Linked DNA regions of Oreochromis niloticus. The protein of the gene in region 1 purifies or fractionates together with the protein of each later gene. This does not show direct contact. Links are inferred from orthologs where the notes say so. Each region holds a gene or a part of one and is shown on either strand. Other genes may lie near its edges.

The links. The genes of interacting proteins can lie anywhere in the genome.
Region 2: the proteins of mbtd1 (region 1) and histone H2A.Z purify together in Homo sapiens (affinity purification with mass spectrometry; 3 studies listed by BioGRID and IntAct, with this or other methods). This does not show direct contact. The link is inferred for Oreochromis niloticus from reciprocal best matches to the Homo sapiens genes MBTD1 and H2AZ1.

What each region holds. Positions count from the first base shown.
Region 1 is NC_031973.2:29,982,066-29,990,175, forward strand, and holds the start of mbtd1 (MBT domain-containing protein 1), read left to right. Parts: upstream 1-4,952; 5' UTR 4,953-5,113; coding exon 5,114-5,134; intron 5,135-6,767; coding exon 6,768-6,972; intron 6,973-7,610; coding exon 7,611-7,744; intron 7,745-7,831; coding exon 7,832-7,946; intron 7,947-8,035; coding exon 8,036-8,110. Other genes in the region: tdrkh (tudor and KH domain-containing protein), read left to right, coding at 947-1,011, 2,530-2,681, 2,785-2,895, 3,401-3,455, 3,983-4,038. UniProt on the Homo sapiens protein: Chromatin reader component of the NuA4 histone acetyltransferase complex, a multiprotein complex involved in transcriptional activation of select genes principally by acetylation of nucleosomal histones H4 and H2A.
Region 2 is NC_031967.2:1,586,560-1,594,174, reverse strand, and holds histone H2A.Z, read left to right. Parts: upstream 1-5,048; 5' UTR 5,049-5,065; coding exon 5,066-5,176; exon of another isoform or gene 5,177-5,190; coding exon of another isoform or gene 5,191-5,193; intron 5,194-5,475; coding exon 5,476-5,553; intron 5,554-5,699; coding exon 5,700-5,813; intron 5,814-5,890; coding exon 5,891-6,020; intron 6,021-6,244; coding exon 6,245-6,306; 3' UTR 6,307-6,800; downstream 6,801-7,615. UniProt on the Homo sapiens protein: Variant histone H2A which replaces conventional H2A in a subset of nucleosomes. Nucleosomes wrap and compact DNA into chromatin, limiting DNA accessibility to the cellular machineries which require DNA as a template.

The DNA of each region.
Region 1 (8,110 bases):
AAGAACCAACAGACTTAAAAACTCCTTTGTCCCACACGCCATTGAACTGTTTAACTCCTCTCTGGAGGGGAGAGGGAGGGGAAACAGGAAGACAAAGGAGGGGGGGCAACTAAGCTGTAGTGCCTTTTCACTGTGCAATACTTTTTGTTAATATCCAACGGTGCAATAGACTCACAATACTTGAAATGTGCAATTCCATTGTATTCCTATTCCTATTTATTCTATTTATCCCTTTTGTATACTCTGTATTTATATATGTCTCTGTAATTATATATGTGTATATATGGTATATTTCTGCTCAATTTATGTAACTTCTGTCAGTGCTGTGCTATTGGAAACCGAATTTCCCGGAGGAACCCACCCGAGGGATTAATAAAGTTTTATCTAATCTAATCTAAATGCAGAATGGGGGTCTAAAATTATTATGATTATTATGAATTTTACAATTATTATCCAATTATTTTGTCTTGACTTGCAAGTAAAAGCAAAATAAATTGATTAGTAGTTTTAGCGTGATCAAGAGATTTAGTACAATAATGCAAAATAATACTGCTTTACAGACAAATATGATGATTATAATGATAAGAGTAACACATTACTTTGAAATGGGTTACAATCAGCAATGTTTTTATTGAAGTATTACAAAGAAAAATATAACCTGGTACAAGTGCAGTTTTGTTGTTTGTGACCGTCATATCAGCATGAGACAGACTGGCTGTCTTCAGAGGAGGCTGGTGAGTTACTGATTTTAAAGAGCACACAATTTTAAATTCTGCATTTCTATGTTAGCTCATGCTGTGAGTGTTGCTTTGTACACCTCTTCATCGAACTGTGGAAGAACTTGTGATGTGACATACTGCTACTGCACACTGTAAAATGTTGGATGTAATGTGGATAAAAAAGGACATGGCTTATTAACAGCTTTTGCATATGCTGCAATTTTCAGGAGCGACTTCCTCAGTTTACCATTTCAAGCTATTGAGTGCAGCTTAGCAGGAGTGAAGCCAAAAGGTAAAGCTCTCATCTTGACAATGACTGTCTTTCTTTTTCTCTCTCTCTCACTTGCTCATTCACTCACTGTCTCTTACCCTTTCACTACCTTTCCCTCTTTCTTACACCTCTCTCTTACATACACACTCTTTCCCAAACACACACACACATACACACTTTGTCACACACTTGCTGGTACATGAGGACATAAGGGCACTTTTATGCCCACTGCTTACCTCCTGTCACACTGTGTTGTGCAGTGAAATTCATATCACGTCCACTGGCATTACCATTTTGGCGTTCTTTTGTCTGGTCGTGTATATATCATGTGTTGTGATATAGCCAAAAAATATGTTTTATTTTAACCATCAGTTGCACACAGAAGTTTTTCACAAATGACAATATTCTCACAGTATGTCTCTTTCTGTTGTCAACACGAACCCTTTAACAAAAAAAGTAAGCAAGAATTCACGAGACAAAGTGAAACAATTGAAATTAAAAAGGTGTTCTCTGTGCTTATAGCATATAAAAACTGTAAAATGTGATGACCTACAGAAACAAAAGTGTAGTTAATGTCTATAAAAGCCATTCACCAAAAACTGTCAGAGGTATCAGAGTGTCTCAGAACTATCGGCTCTATATGTGCTAGGAAGTTTAAACAACAAAAAGTGGTAAAATGGAAAACTGTTCCAAGTTCAGACAATGCCTGAAAAACCACTGAACAACAACAGTCATGTCACAGGTATTAGAGCATCTCAAAACAACCTAAATAATGATTGCGCTTTCTGTTCTAGATTTTAAACAACAAAACACACCACGCATATTGGTAAAATAATCACAAAGCTAAGGTATAATGAAGGATTGTGACTTGTACTCCTGAAAAAGAACACTCTCATCAGTGTTTAAGGTGTGTAAGTTCTGTGCCAACAACACAAGCCTGTCAACACCTCCAGGTTTGAGTGAAGCTTGGTGACATGTGACCACATTTCCACTAGTACTAAATACCATGTTCCACATTCAGGTTCGACATCCTCCTTGCGAAATCCAAACCACTGCCAGATTATTGATCCAGTGCTGTTTCTCTTTGGAACTATCTTGTCTGGCTCCTGTTCAGTTACAGTCTCATTTCCTTGCTTGTCTGAGACTCTCACTGTCACCATATTTTTTCCTATTTGGCAGTATATAAACGCGCATGCTCAGCGCAGTGTGCCAGGTAGAAAAACGTCTGGGGAGGTGGGATTAGTGATGCATTTGTAGCATGTGGGAGAAAAAAAACTGCAGACAGCTTAATATAACCATGGCAGTTTATACTCGATGGTTACAATAGAGCCATTTTAACCATCATAAGTGAAAAAACTACATTCGCTATATCACTCAGACTTACCTTACTGGGGAACATAAATAAAACTGACTGTGTGATGATGTTACGGTGGCACAATCAATGCAGAGGATATACTGAGGTCTTTTAGTATTCTGCAGTGCATTGTTCTTGAATTCTTGATTATTTCAGTCTCTTTCCTCCATCAACCTGTCATGCAGGAGGGGTTTGGACTGAGGAAGCCCTGGATCAGTTTGAGAGGCTGACATATTGTGCCTCTTGGAGACCCCTGCAGGCCAAACTGTGCAGCTACTCTCACTCGGAAATCTCCTCATGGCCCAGTGTCAAGCTCTATGACAACAGTGAGGGCAAGGTTAGATAGGATTTTATTTCTTAATAATAAGACTTTAATAAGCCTGTATTTGGTTTGTCCTTTACCCTGTCTCCTCTTTCCATGTGCATATCATGTAAAAAAGACTGTGGATGTTGGAGAGGAGCTTATACGATTGGGCTATGCCGTTATCTTCCATGAAGATTTGAATGGAAAAAAAGAGGGCTGCAATCTTGGCTGTCTGCAGATGATGCTGGTAAGTTACTGATTCTGCTTTTTGTGTCTTGCAGCGTCTCTTACTTCTTCCTGGACAAAAATAGGGTATCAATATACTTAATCTTGAACAGGACATCTGTAAGCCAGCGGGAAAAAATCCTGGAAAAATCAACACTAAACAGAGAGATAGATCAAAACTACTTGGATGATTGTGGAATTCTAATTTTTGGGAATCCAGACTCCCTCAGTTAACCTCCACCGACTGACAACAACCCTGACTTGCAGCCATGACTTGCAGGCTGCAAGACTGATGCCATTCAATTCAATTCAATTCAATTTTATTTATATAGCGCCAAATCACAAAAGTCGCCTCAAAGCGCTTCATAATCTCTGTCCAACTGTATCCGACAAGGTACTCTGTCATTTTTTATTATTATTATTTTAACTTATCTTTATGCCTGAGAGATTAGGTAATCCCCTTACTTCTGTTCTGAAAGTTTGAAGAACTGGTTAACAGCGGCTAATCACTTTTATTCTTCCAACAGGATGATGTAATAGGAGCATCATCAGAGCTCAGTCTTTCCTGTATCAGTTTATCAGGTGAGTTCTGTCATGGAACTGTAATTTGAGATTTGCCAGTGACTATGTTTAAGCGATCATAAAGTAACCCTCATACCCTTATGTTACTGGGATTGTATGTTGAAGTAGAAATGTTATCTAGGTTTCTAAATACAATAGAATATCCAAGTGATGTCCACATTGGATCAGATTCTTGACTTGGGACACTTCTTAAACCTACAGAGAGGTAGTGTATGCCCCCATGTGGTGGAAAATTAACAGGAATGCAGTTCTGTTAAATCAACTTTCTAAAGTGTCTCAAGAAGAAATGAACTCAACAATATACATTTTGGTTAGGATCAATTAACTTGACCCTAATGCTCAGAATACTTGTATTCAGTGCAATTTGTAGTTTATCTCCAACAAATCAGGAAATATAACATAGTGAAACAAAAGGGACAGTGTCACCATGACTCTGTCAAGCTTTTGTACCATGGTGGATAAACAAAAAGAGTTGAAGCTGCTGTTACAGTCATTGTTAACTTGAGTGTTTCCTTCTTGCACCTCAGAAGCTGCCTCTATATCAGGAAGTGTTGATGATGTTGTGGAGGACGAGTTGCTGTGAGACCAAAGATATTCAAAAAACCAAGGTATCTTCTCCCAGTTTGATGTCTGATTCTGAACATTTGCTAGTGAACGCTCTTGTGTGAACCATTATGTCTAAAAATGATGAACTTTTCTTTAGCAGTCCTCAACATCTACTCCTCAGCATCAGCCCTAATGATGATGTAGAGCTTTGCCTAACCTAAACCTAAACTTGATTACATAAACCCTCTTCCTGAAGCCTTACCTACTTGATGAGTGTGCAGCAGTTCTTCCAGCCATTATCACTTTGTTGTTGTTACTTCAGCAAATAATTCTTTGTTTTTTGTTTAATGTTTCGTTCTGCTTTGCCAAATTTTGTGTTCAAGGAACAGGGAAAAGAATAAATCTAGAATGCCAGTATTATTACTGAAAAGCACTGTGATTGGAATTACTGGAGCAAAGTTCATTTGGTTTGTGGTTAATATTGTTTAGTTTCTTGCTGTACTTGTATGTATATCAAAAAAACTATGCCCATTATCAGGCTTAAGTGAATATATTTTGGAAGTTAAAAGCTAAAGTGTTATTGAATGTGGTTCTCAGATTTTGTTCAATGTGAATATATTGCATCTACTGTAGAAATCTTTCACAAGAAAGATTGTCTTCGAAAATGTAATAATGTCACTATATCCTAATAAAATATTTATTTTACTTCACATGTACTACTGTATTTTATTTTGAAGTTCTTTTTATATGGAAAAATTCCAAATGAAAGTCAGGAGCTAGTTATAAACAAAACAAAACCATAGAAATTACTGTAACGTTTCTGTATTTACACCTACTGATAATCTGTAGTTGTTCTGAAGGCCCCTTTCATTCAGTTACTCTGCAAAGTCTATTATTTTGTGTCTGCATCGGTCGATGACCTCCATTGCAGATCCACCAATCACATGAAAGTAGGTTACGGTCGCTCATGCGCAGAGGCTGCAGAGTAATTTGTTGATATCCTGCTTGGTAGTATTTCGACTAAAATTCAAAGCTAGGTTATACCCCAGGTGAGGGGATTTGTTTGAATTAGGAAGTGCAGGTAACTGGAAGAACAGCTATATGAAGGGCTGATGGAAAACGCAAGGGATTTGGTGAGTTGGTTTGAAACATTTTTGGGCCGCGAGCCTCCGATTCCAGTGGATTGTTCAGGGTAGTACGCCTCCTTTGTTGTTATCTGTTTACGATAGCCAGCTAGTGGCTCACCCATCTACACATAATACTAAAGCTCTTTCTTTTCTCTCTCTCGCTCTCTCTCAAAAAAAAAACGAGTAGAGTTTTCTTACAAGTCTAACTATTGCAACTATACGTTAATAGACGAACGTAAAAAGGCTTTGTTCTGAAACCCCCCCCCTGGAAAAACAGGTTCTGCTAGCTAGCTCTGCTAGTGCTGTTTAGCTTTAGGAGGTGTTTGTAATAAGGCCGTCCCTTATTTTAGTTTCGGTATTAGTTTACTTTTCCAGTATATATGTATGTAAAATGTAGCTTACAAAGGATGTCTTTGGAAATGGGTGTCTTGATTTATTTTTTTTATTTTTTATTTTTTTTAAGTTAAACTGTTGCGCGTAGTGTAATGTTTGGGCTGAGATGCTGTGAAGAGGAAGTAAACTAGCTTTGACAACATGTACGCATTGTTCCGGATCCTGTGATCAGACTTCCATACTTTCACGTAGTATTTATTCATTTATTTAGAGATTTTTGGGCGTTTCGAAAAAAGTCATGCTGACTCAGATATGGTTCGCTGATATTTTCCTACCTGAATCTAAATGATGCATTAATGATGAAAGGCGAACTGTAAAAATACATCTTTCAACTAAAACAAGTTCAGCTTCACTTCAATACTAAAATTTAGCTTAGGGAGTTGATTTTTGTTTACATTTGTCTAAAACATCTTACAAATGCTCATAAAAAATGGAAAGAATATTGATAAAAAATAATAAAAATGTGAACCAAGAAGATTTGAATCTTTATTTTCTTCTGGTCCATTATTATTTTTTGCATCAACCATTGCAATCAAACCATTTCTTTTGCAACTATTGCAGACTGCGTCTGCTCCCCCATTCTTCCCCTTCCTACCGCCCAAGATTGCCTTAGAGCAATATTTCCTTTCTCGCTTCCTCACAAAAGTTGTTTTAAGTATTTTCGTTTTTTTGTATTGATTCGCACAGAGATTGAGATTAACAGTAATAAGAATTATTTTAAGGCACTATTATTGCTGTGCTTTCACCATTATATGTTTGAAGAAAAGGTTAATTTTATTAATATTAAAAACCATGGTATATTTAATTTGAAGAGCGCCACTGTTAAAAAATAAATAAAAAAACTGGGCATCCCTTCTGCACTAAAGACAAATGTTTGGCTAGTTTGTGTGGCTAAACTCCAGGACCACAGAACAAGGACATTTGTAAGGAGCTGTTAAAATAAAGTGCAATAGCTTAAAAGAATAGAAGTATGAGAATGCAGCTTTATTTTTCTTTTATTAAGTTTTAGTAAAGTAAAATAACTCAAAAGGGAATGGAGTAAAATAAAATGACTTGAATGAAATATGTTTTTCTGAACAGTTACCTTCTCTTAGACCAATTTCACTGCTTTCTCTGAACAACGCCAAAGTAAACGTGTTACATTATATGGAGAAATGGAGAGGAGAACCTCCTGAGCTACAGACACCCCTAAAAGCATCCATATGAATTCATTCAGTGTTTCTCTGTTGTGTCCTCATCTGTAAAGGCTGAGCGTACCCCACGTTCAGATCGTAAGCGACGAGACTCATTCGGGATGTTTGATGGCTATGACAGCTGCAGCGAGGAGTCCACCAGCAGCTCTAGCTCAGACGACAGTGAGGATGAGGTGGTACCCTCCATCCCTGCTAGTCTGCCCATCATCAAGAACAATGGACAAGTCTACACCTACCCTGATGGAAAGGCTGGAATGGGTCAGTACATGAGGCTTTTTTTGTGTGTGTTGCTTAAATATCAATCTGTGAGTGAACAATAATAGTGTTTACGTTTAGCTGCTGTGGCTCAGGAAGTATAACGATTATTAGTTTGAGCCTCAGCTCCTCAACGTTCATATGTGCAAATATCCTTGGCCAAGATATTGAATTACCTAAACAGTTAATGCATTACTTTTGGTATACCCTTTGAATTAAATCTAAAAATTTTCATTTAAATCACATTTGGTTAATTTAAAATCCACTGTAGTGATGGGGTGGCTCGGTCCCCTTCTGCTCCATTCTACATGCCAAATATCCTTGGCCAAGATAATAACCCCAAGTTGTTCTCCGATGCATCCACCGGACAATGAATGTGTATGAATGTTGGGTAGGAAGAACTTGCATAGAAAGTGCCTAGAAAAAAGTACTTGTGCGATTGGATGTGAATGGGTGAATGAGGAAAGATTTATAAAGAGCTTTTAGTATTCAGAGTAGAAAGGCGCTATATAAAAACCAGTCCATTTACCACGTACAGAGCAAAAATTGCAATTGTGTCAATTTCCAAATACTTATGGAGATAACTATAAATGCCATTTACCATTTGTAGACTGCTGATGTATTTCGGTTTGTTTTCACAGCCACCTGTGAGATGTGTGGGATGGTCGGTGTACGAGATGCTTTTTACTCCAAAACCAAGCGTTTCTGCAGTGTGTCCTGTTCTAGGAGTTATTCCTCAAATTCTAAAAAAGCTAGCATCTTGGCAAGACTCCAGGTAAATTCATTATCTTTGATAAAAAAGTATAGTAGTTTCATAATTTTGTATTGTGTAAATATTAACATCTGCTTTGATTTTTACAAGGGCAAACCACCAACAAAAAAGGCCAAAGTCTTACAGAAACAGCCTCTCATGGCAAAGTTGGCAGCTTATGCCCAGTACCAAGCAAGTCAACAGAACCAGGCCAAACTGAAAGCAGGTAGGCTGTGAAAAAGCAATCATGATGGGGCTCATATTTCTGCTCTTTTTGATGTACACAAGCTACAAACTAATTGTTCTTTCTGTCAGTGGTCCCTGGAGAGAGTTTTGACTGGGGGCAGTATATCTGTAGCAGTAACACGGTGGGGGCTCCTGTCAGCTGTT
Region 2 (7,615 bases), on another chromosome or scaffold:
TGAAACATTTCATTGACTAACATGGAAAATGGCTGAAAATAAAAATGAGCATCACTTTATCCTAATTTCACTACTTTACCGCTAATTTTACAGATAGACTCTGGGCATTGGCATCCTTCATGCAGTGGAGCCAATGCATCGGAACAGAGGGCGGCCCAGGAGGTAATAATAAAGAGAGCTGATGTGTATCTGGCCTCCTGCACTGACAGTTTCCTGCTCATGTAAATGTTCGGGCAGCTGATCCCCTTTACTCGGAGTGTAGAGCAGGGGTTCCCCACAGAGAGCCTTTGTAATGACTGACCCAACACCCTGTCATGCTACTCACTTTGGGAGTGCTCTTTCAATACCCAGTACAGTGGTCTCCAGCCTCACTATATAAAGGAGAGAAACCTCATTAGTTTTATCATGCACACCTGTCCCTCCAACCCCCCTGGCACTGCCCCTTGAGCTCACTGCACCACCCTCCCCTGCAGCTGAGGCAGGGACCACGCCTCCGCCACAGCCTTCTTTACCTGTACGAACGCTGCCTGACACTGCTCCGTCCACTGGACCAGATCTGGGGCGAGATCAGTCAAGGGGCTGATCAGGTCTGTGAAGCCTGGCATAAACTGGCAGTAGTACCCAGCCAGCCCGTGGTTAAATCCAGTGTTGTGAAAAAACGAGCAGTGCGTACCTGGTCCAGGAGCTCGGCTCCCCTTGCTTTCACTCTGTCTTTCCTCACTGCAGACTCCTATGGGAGTCACTGACAAACTTATGTTTACAGCTAGATAGCGCAATGAAAAAACACCTCTAAGTGCTGGGTGAATCCTACAGAACTAGACATGCAGTATAGAATGAAAATATACATTAGGCACTATTCTCAGGAACCAAGAATGCCTGCGGTGAAAATTCTGGCTTCGAGGTAAACCAGTACGAAACAAACATTTAAAGACTACATTTTATGAATATCAAAGATAAAGTTATCCATGAGAAAGAAAAATACACTCCTCAAAACGTGAAGTATAAACCGGAAACATCAACAGTTCCCCTAGATATATTTTTCTTACTTGGTTATCGTCTTAATGTAAGTCCCATGTGACCCCATCATGAATAATCCACAGCCGGGCTGGGTGCAGCAGGTCGAATCGGACCCCTTTGACTCCTCTGAGCTAGCGGCAGCTGTTTGCAAAGGCTGCATGTGCTCGCGCCGTCTTGGCGGGATAATCGGTGAAAACCGAGATGGTCATATTGTTCACCTTGATCCACTGAAGCTCCCTTGCCCTCGAAAGGATTTTAACACAGTCAGTGTAGTAATGTAGTTAGCTACTATGGCACAGGGCCGCTCTTGTGTCTTGGGCTTGGGAGCCAGAGTACGGTGAGCGCGATCTAGCAGCGGCTCCTCTGGGAGGTCAAAGGCCTCCTTTAGCAACTGCGAATCGGCATCCGTGGATGCTGACAATGGGTCGTCTTTCAGAACACCAATGATGCGGATGTTTTGACACCTGGACTCCAAATCGTCACATTTATCCTCCAACTTGGCCACCGCCTTAGTTAGATGGTCCACTTTTCTCTGGAGGCTGATGATGTCGTCAGTACAGGTGGACAGGGATCGCTGCATCTCGGTAACCGTTACCTTTAGTTAGGTGAAACTCTCCTACTCTACTTTGAGAGCACAGACACGGCTACTATCGGCAGCCTGGGCCCCAGTCGCCAACTCAGGACAGGTCAAGGGCTCATCAGGAGAGGCTGCAGGCGAGGCTGGATCAAGTTTCCTCATTTAGTCGGCTTTGGTGGCATTTTAGTGACCAAAATATAAAAGTTTACAATTGTAAAAGGACTTAGATATTGCTTGGGGTCGAGTCAGAGAAAAAGTGCTCAGTAATAATTGAAAAAAACCACCCAACTCTGCAGGAGCTCACCGAAACGCTACTCAGACCAAACCGCCATTAGCTGGAGTCCAGCTCTGTTTACGATACAAGATATTTTCCATTGAGTGGGCCCTCTTGTTGGAACGGCTCCACCAGCTCAGCTGTCGGTCTGAATAGGGACTAATGGAAAAGGGACTTAGGCTACGTCCACACTAATGCGTTTTCGTTTGAAAATGCATAGTTTTTTCTCCGTTTTGGCCAACCGTCCACACTGAGACGGCGCTTTCCCCAAGGAAAACGAAGCGTTTTGAAAACGCTCTCGAAAAGGAATACATTTGAAGACGGTGCGTTTGCGTCACAGTGTGGACAGTGAAAACGGAGACTTTCTAAAGCGATGACGCATTCTCACTCGCTTTTGCAACTTTGTACTTTTGTGTTACTCGCAGCAACAACTCCACCTCATTGTTAGTCCATTTAAAAAACTCGGTGCTTTTCCTCGACATTCTGCCGCGACGTTTCAAAGAGCCGGAAAGTAAATGAACGGCAGACAGAAATGAGGCAGGCCGAATCTTCTTGCGCTTCACGCATGTGCTAGACTGGAACCTAAGTATTTTTAGCCGTTTCAATGTGGATGCACAACTCTGTGAAAAAGACTGAAAACGCTAGTGTGGATGTGAAGCATTTTCAGACGAAAACGCCGTTTTCAAATCTATCTGGGCTAGTGTGGACGTAGTCTTAGGCATCCTTGGCCACCTTCAGGCACTGCTTCACCTCCTGCTGTGCTGACTTGATAACTGTCCTGTCCTTGGTTCTGAAGGCCTCCTTCTTCCTGCTGAGGACAGCTTTGACACCCTCTGTTATCCACAGTTTGATGTTGGATTTGGACTCGTATGAAAAGGGGAAAAAATTCAGTTTAAAATATTGAGCCAATGCCAAATAATAACGTTGGGTTTGTAACACTCATTCCTTCAGCACTCTTTAAAGGTTGAATTTCCCGTGTTGGCTGGTAATAACTAGCTCAATGGATTAGTTCACTCAACATATTGTGACAGGATGACATCATGTAAAAAACTAGCATCTATTTTTGTCTTTCATCAGTGACCCAGTCAGCTACTCTCCAGCTGCACTATTTTCCCACCAAAGATTTTATTTATTTATTTTCTATTTTTGTTTCCGCTCAAGTCCCCGCAGGAAAAATGACATCAGCGCTTCTCACGCTCTTTATGCCTTTTTCTTCTGAGCTGTCCCTCTCTTTCTCTCCTACTCTCAGTATTTCCCTCATGTGGATTGTGGAAACATTGTTGGTTTAGTTCATAACCTGATCTCTCCATATCCAGCACATGATGGCTCACACTACAATATTACTGATTTTACAGTATTGTGATGCAGCCATGTACAACAAAGAGACAACAAGACAGCTCTTCTTATGACTTTACAAAAAGTTTTGATTTTTTTGATTTTTTTTCTTTTTTTTCAAAGTCCATCTGCTGTGTTAGTCAGCCTCCCCTGACACCACACGGCCCCCAGCAGACCCATGGCTGATTTCCTCTCCCAGTTAGGGGGGTGGGGCTGACCAACACAGCAGATCTCCATCAGCTAATCATCCCTCCTCTCTTTAAGTCGGCTGTTGCGAGCAGTGCTGGACTGAGCTGGAGTGTGACAGCTGGAAAGCTGCACAAACAGACTGATAGGTCCTTCTGTTACAAGCATAGAGCATATTATTGGTCTCCGGTCCTTTGAATGTTGAATCAGTCTAAAGAAGTGGGCATCGTACTGGATTCACTTTATCCGGCGAGGATCGCTCTGATTTTGAAACAGAACTGTGACCCTACTTTCATCTCATAGTACAAACCTGTATCTCTCCTTTCAGTCTAAGCAAAAACCAGGATCTAATCATCTGAAAACTTATACTGCCAAAATCATACTTCTGGATCAGACAAAGTTCATACCCAGTGGGCATATTCATTTCAACATGCAGAGACTCTTTGGTATCATCCATATCCCTGCTCACAGCAGGGAGGATTCAGTTGTATCTCTCTTTGTGCCGAGAAGGCTTTTGCTCAAGTTGAACGGCCTTTTGGTCGACGACTTTTCCCCTCTTCCTGTATCATTTGGGGTGGTTGGAACAAGTGGTGTAAAAGATCATTATGATGCTCGAGCCATTTCCTTATCAAGGCTGAGTGGAACTGAGTCTACACCCAGTCTTTGGCTAAAATCTTGCATATCTGAGGCACAGCTGTAGGAAGTGATAGATTTCTGGCTGATCTTTATGAGTGGCCATTGCTCTGTCTCTCTCTCTTTCTGCCTGGGAATTTTTACAGGTAGCTTGTGACATCTATGTAACACACAGAGATTCATTCAACATTCATTTAGGATGGATGGATTGATGCAGGCTGTAATTAAATTACTTCAAACACAGAGCACCAACTTTTTCTTCAGTTTGCCTTCTTTGTCTGCTTGTGGCTGGTTGCTTTATCCTGTTGATGGTGTGGCCAGTTGTCCCAGTCAGCACAGGGAATCCCATTATTTTAAACATTTGATCATGCTGCTTCAGCAAAGTTCTTCCAGTTATACAAGAATAGCAGCAATTTCCCAACCTTAGAGTTAAATGATACTCAGAGCAATTAGATTTCCAGGCTATTGCACTGACCTCTGCTCGAGTACATATGTGTTTTTAGAAAAGAGGTAACGTGCAAGACCCTGAAAATTGGTATGTGGGGGAGGCGGGGGTGAGCACTCTGCTGTGCTTCATATACTAAACTAAATGGTAAATGGCCTGTATTTGTATAGCGCTTTACTTAGTCCCTATGGACCCCAAAGCGCTTTACACTACATTCAGTCATCCACCCATTCACAACAGGTGATGGCAAGCTACATTGTAGCCACGGCTGCCCTGGGGTGCACTGACAGAGGCGAGGTTTTACCAAATGGGGCTATTTAATTTTACCATCAGCTTTGATAGCTTTCTGCCTAAACCCTAAACTGGATAAGCAGATAAGAAGATGAATGTATGTGGGGACTTTTATCTATAGTAAATTAAAAGTTAATGACATGTGAAAGAAAAACTAATGCTAACTCATTTCGATATAAAATGGGAAAGGGATACGCCACATAAACTACATTACCCATAAGCTCTTAGAACGGAACCGCACAGAGAGCTCATTTATTGGCTGAAGAGCTGCAGCGGTAATCACGTGACTGCCGTCATCCGGGTAGCCATGGTTGTATATAAAGACCCGCTGTGGGGGGGAGGGGGTCTAGTTCAAACAACAGTCGATATTCAGTGCAGACGGAGGATATTATTTTGGCTGCGGAGTCAGAGTTTCTTTGTAAGTTTTTAAATATGGTACGTATTACATGTCGTATTAACGAAACATTATAACGACACACTCTGTTTAGGTAGTTTGTTTGAAACAAATCTTAATTTGGTAGCGTTGCATTTTCTTTATTAGTTAACAGTTGGCCGCTAGCATTGGCTGGTGTAGTGGATTAGCATGCTAAATACCCACTGGCTTCACTGGGGAAGCGCTAGCATGGCTAGCGAATATTAAGCGGACCTTAAGTTAATGTTGAGCTACAATAAGGCGCGTTTCGGCGGAGGCACACTAACAGTACTGGTGTTTTACAGGCTGGTGGTAAAGCTGGTAAAGACTCTGGAAAGACCAAGACCAAAGCGATTTCGCGCTCTCAGAGAGCAGGACTGCAGGTTTGTCCCCAAATTTCATTCATTTTCTCGGTTGCGCAAGCACGCGCTATTAGCCAAAAGTCAGTGGTTCTTTGTCGGTGGCGGGCTCTCATCGAGCGGCCAGCACGGCTTTGCTTCTGTTCACTCGTGTCACATTATCCCCGCAGTTCCCGGTAGGCCGTATCCACAGACACCTCAAGTCCAGAACAACGAGCCACGGCAGAGTAGGAGCCACCGCGGCGGTGTACAGCGCGGCTATTCTCGAATACCTTACTGCTGAGGTGACCCTAAGCTCCGTTTATCTTGCACTTCGTTGCTTGAGGTGTTGATCTTTTTGTAAAGGCTGTGTCTCTTTCAGGTTCTAGAGTTGGCAGGAAATGCATCAAAGGACCTTAAAGTAAAGCGTATAACCCCACGCCACTTGCAGCTGGCTATTAGAGGAGATGAAGAGCTGGATTCACTTATCAAGGCCACTATTGCAGGCGGAGGTACGAACATTACAGAGAACTGTGTGATGGTCTTATACTCCCGTACTGTAGTGGTTTACACATTTTGTTGAGGCACAAATCCCTTTTGTGTTGCATCTGGTGTAAAACTGTAACATCAACACTGTTGTGGCAACTCTGTTACAAGGGAGCAGCTGAAAGTGGTTACTGAAATGAAAACTTAACCGTTCAAGTATATAAACTGTTATAACATTTATTTTTTCCAGGCGTGATCCCGCACATCCACAAATCTCTGATCGGGAAGAAGGGCCAGCAGAAGACTGTATAACCTGAAGTGTTCAGCAAGTTGTGCCATCTCAGGATGAAGTCTGCATCAAGTGGTTAAATGTCTTAGATTAGTAATCTTACATTATTTTATGGTAGTGTGCATTTACTACTCTGGGTGGGGTTTGTTTTTGGGTTTTTTGTTTTTTTTAATAGTGGGCCCCTCCCCTCTCCTGCAGGTTTTTGGGGGTGGGGGGCGGCTCCAGCCGGCTTGTCTTGGATGTATACGTGTATTTGGCCTTTCTGTTTTTAATCTTCACAGCTTTGAAAGGAGCTCACAGCCACCAAACCTAGTCGATACGGAGTACAGGATGTGCATAGCTTTTGTGAAAACTCAAGATGTGCTTGTGCTTTGTATGTACCTTTAATGCAGACCATCCATTTCAGCCTTGTATTTCAAAGCATGTTCATTCTCTTTACCACTGGACTGTCATGGACCGGTTCATAACCTTGTTGGTATTTTTGGATTCCTGAATAAAGACTGGATTTGGCACAGTCTGAGTGTTTCCCCTAGTCTTTGTCTTATTCTCTTTGAACAGAGTGCTGTGACTTTCCTCTTAATCATGCAGTGATGTATGACTACAGGTGGCGTAATGTGAAGCTTTGGCTTTCATTCCACTTTTGTTCAGTTTTACACAAAATTGGAGGAATGCCAATGGGCTCGTTAGGTGAGCTGGCTACATGCAGTGTTTTAGATTTATTTTTTTAAATACTTGAGGTCTACTGAATATTCAAACTTATTTGCTAATATGCACTGAAATTCTCATGGGTGCAAATGACTGAAAAGTCAGAACTCCAATCTTTGGTGGTTGGAGTTGGTTCAAATTTTCAAAGCCAGCCAGACCTTTATTTGATTACATGGCCCAAGTACTGATGAATCCACGCACTACATCTGATGGCGGATCTTATATTTCTAAGTATGTCTAACACTTTCTTCACAACAAGGTGCTGGGTTTACATCCACGACCTGGCTGGGCCTTCCTTTATGGTTTGCATGGGTTCTTTGAGTATTTGGGCAGCCTCCTGCAGTTAGTGGGGTTGGGTAAATTAATCCTAGTTACCCACAGGTGTGACAGGTTGGTGACCTTTGCAGGGTGTACTCCACCTCTCACTCTGGCAGCTGGGATAGGCTCCAGCAACCCCTGTGACCCTGAACTGGAAAAGTTGAGTAGAAGAGGATGGATGGGCTTCTAAATGTCAGTGTGTTTTAGCCTTAACTTTAGATCCTCACTAGGTGGCACTATAACCCCACTACACTCCTATTGTGTGAAGTGCTAATTCATATATGAACCTCATATAAAACAAGCTTAAAT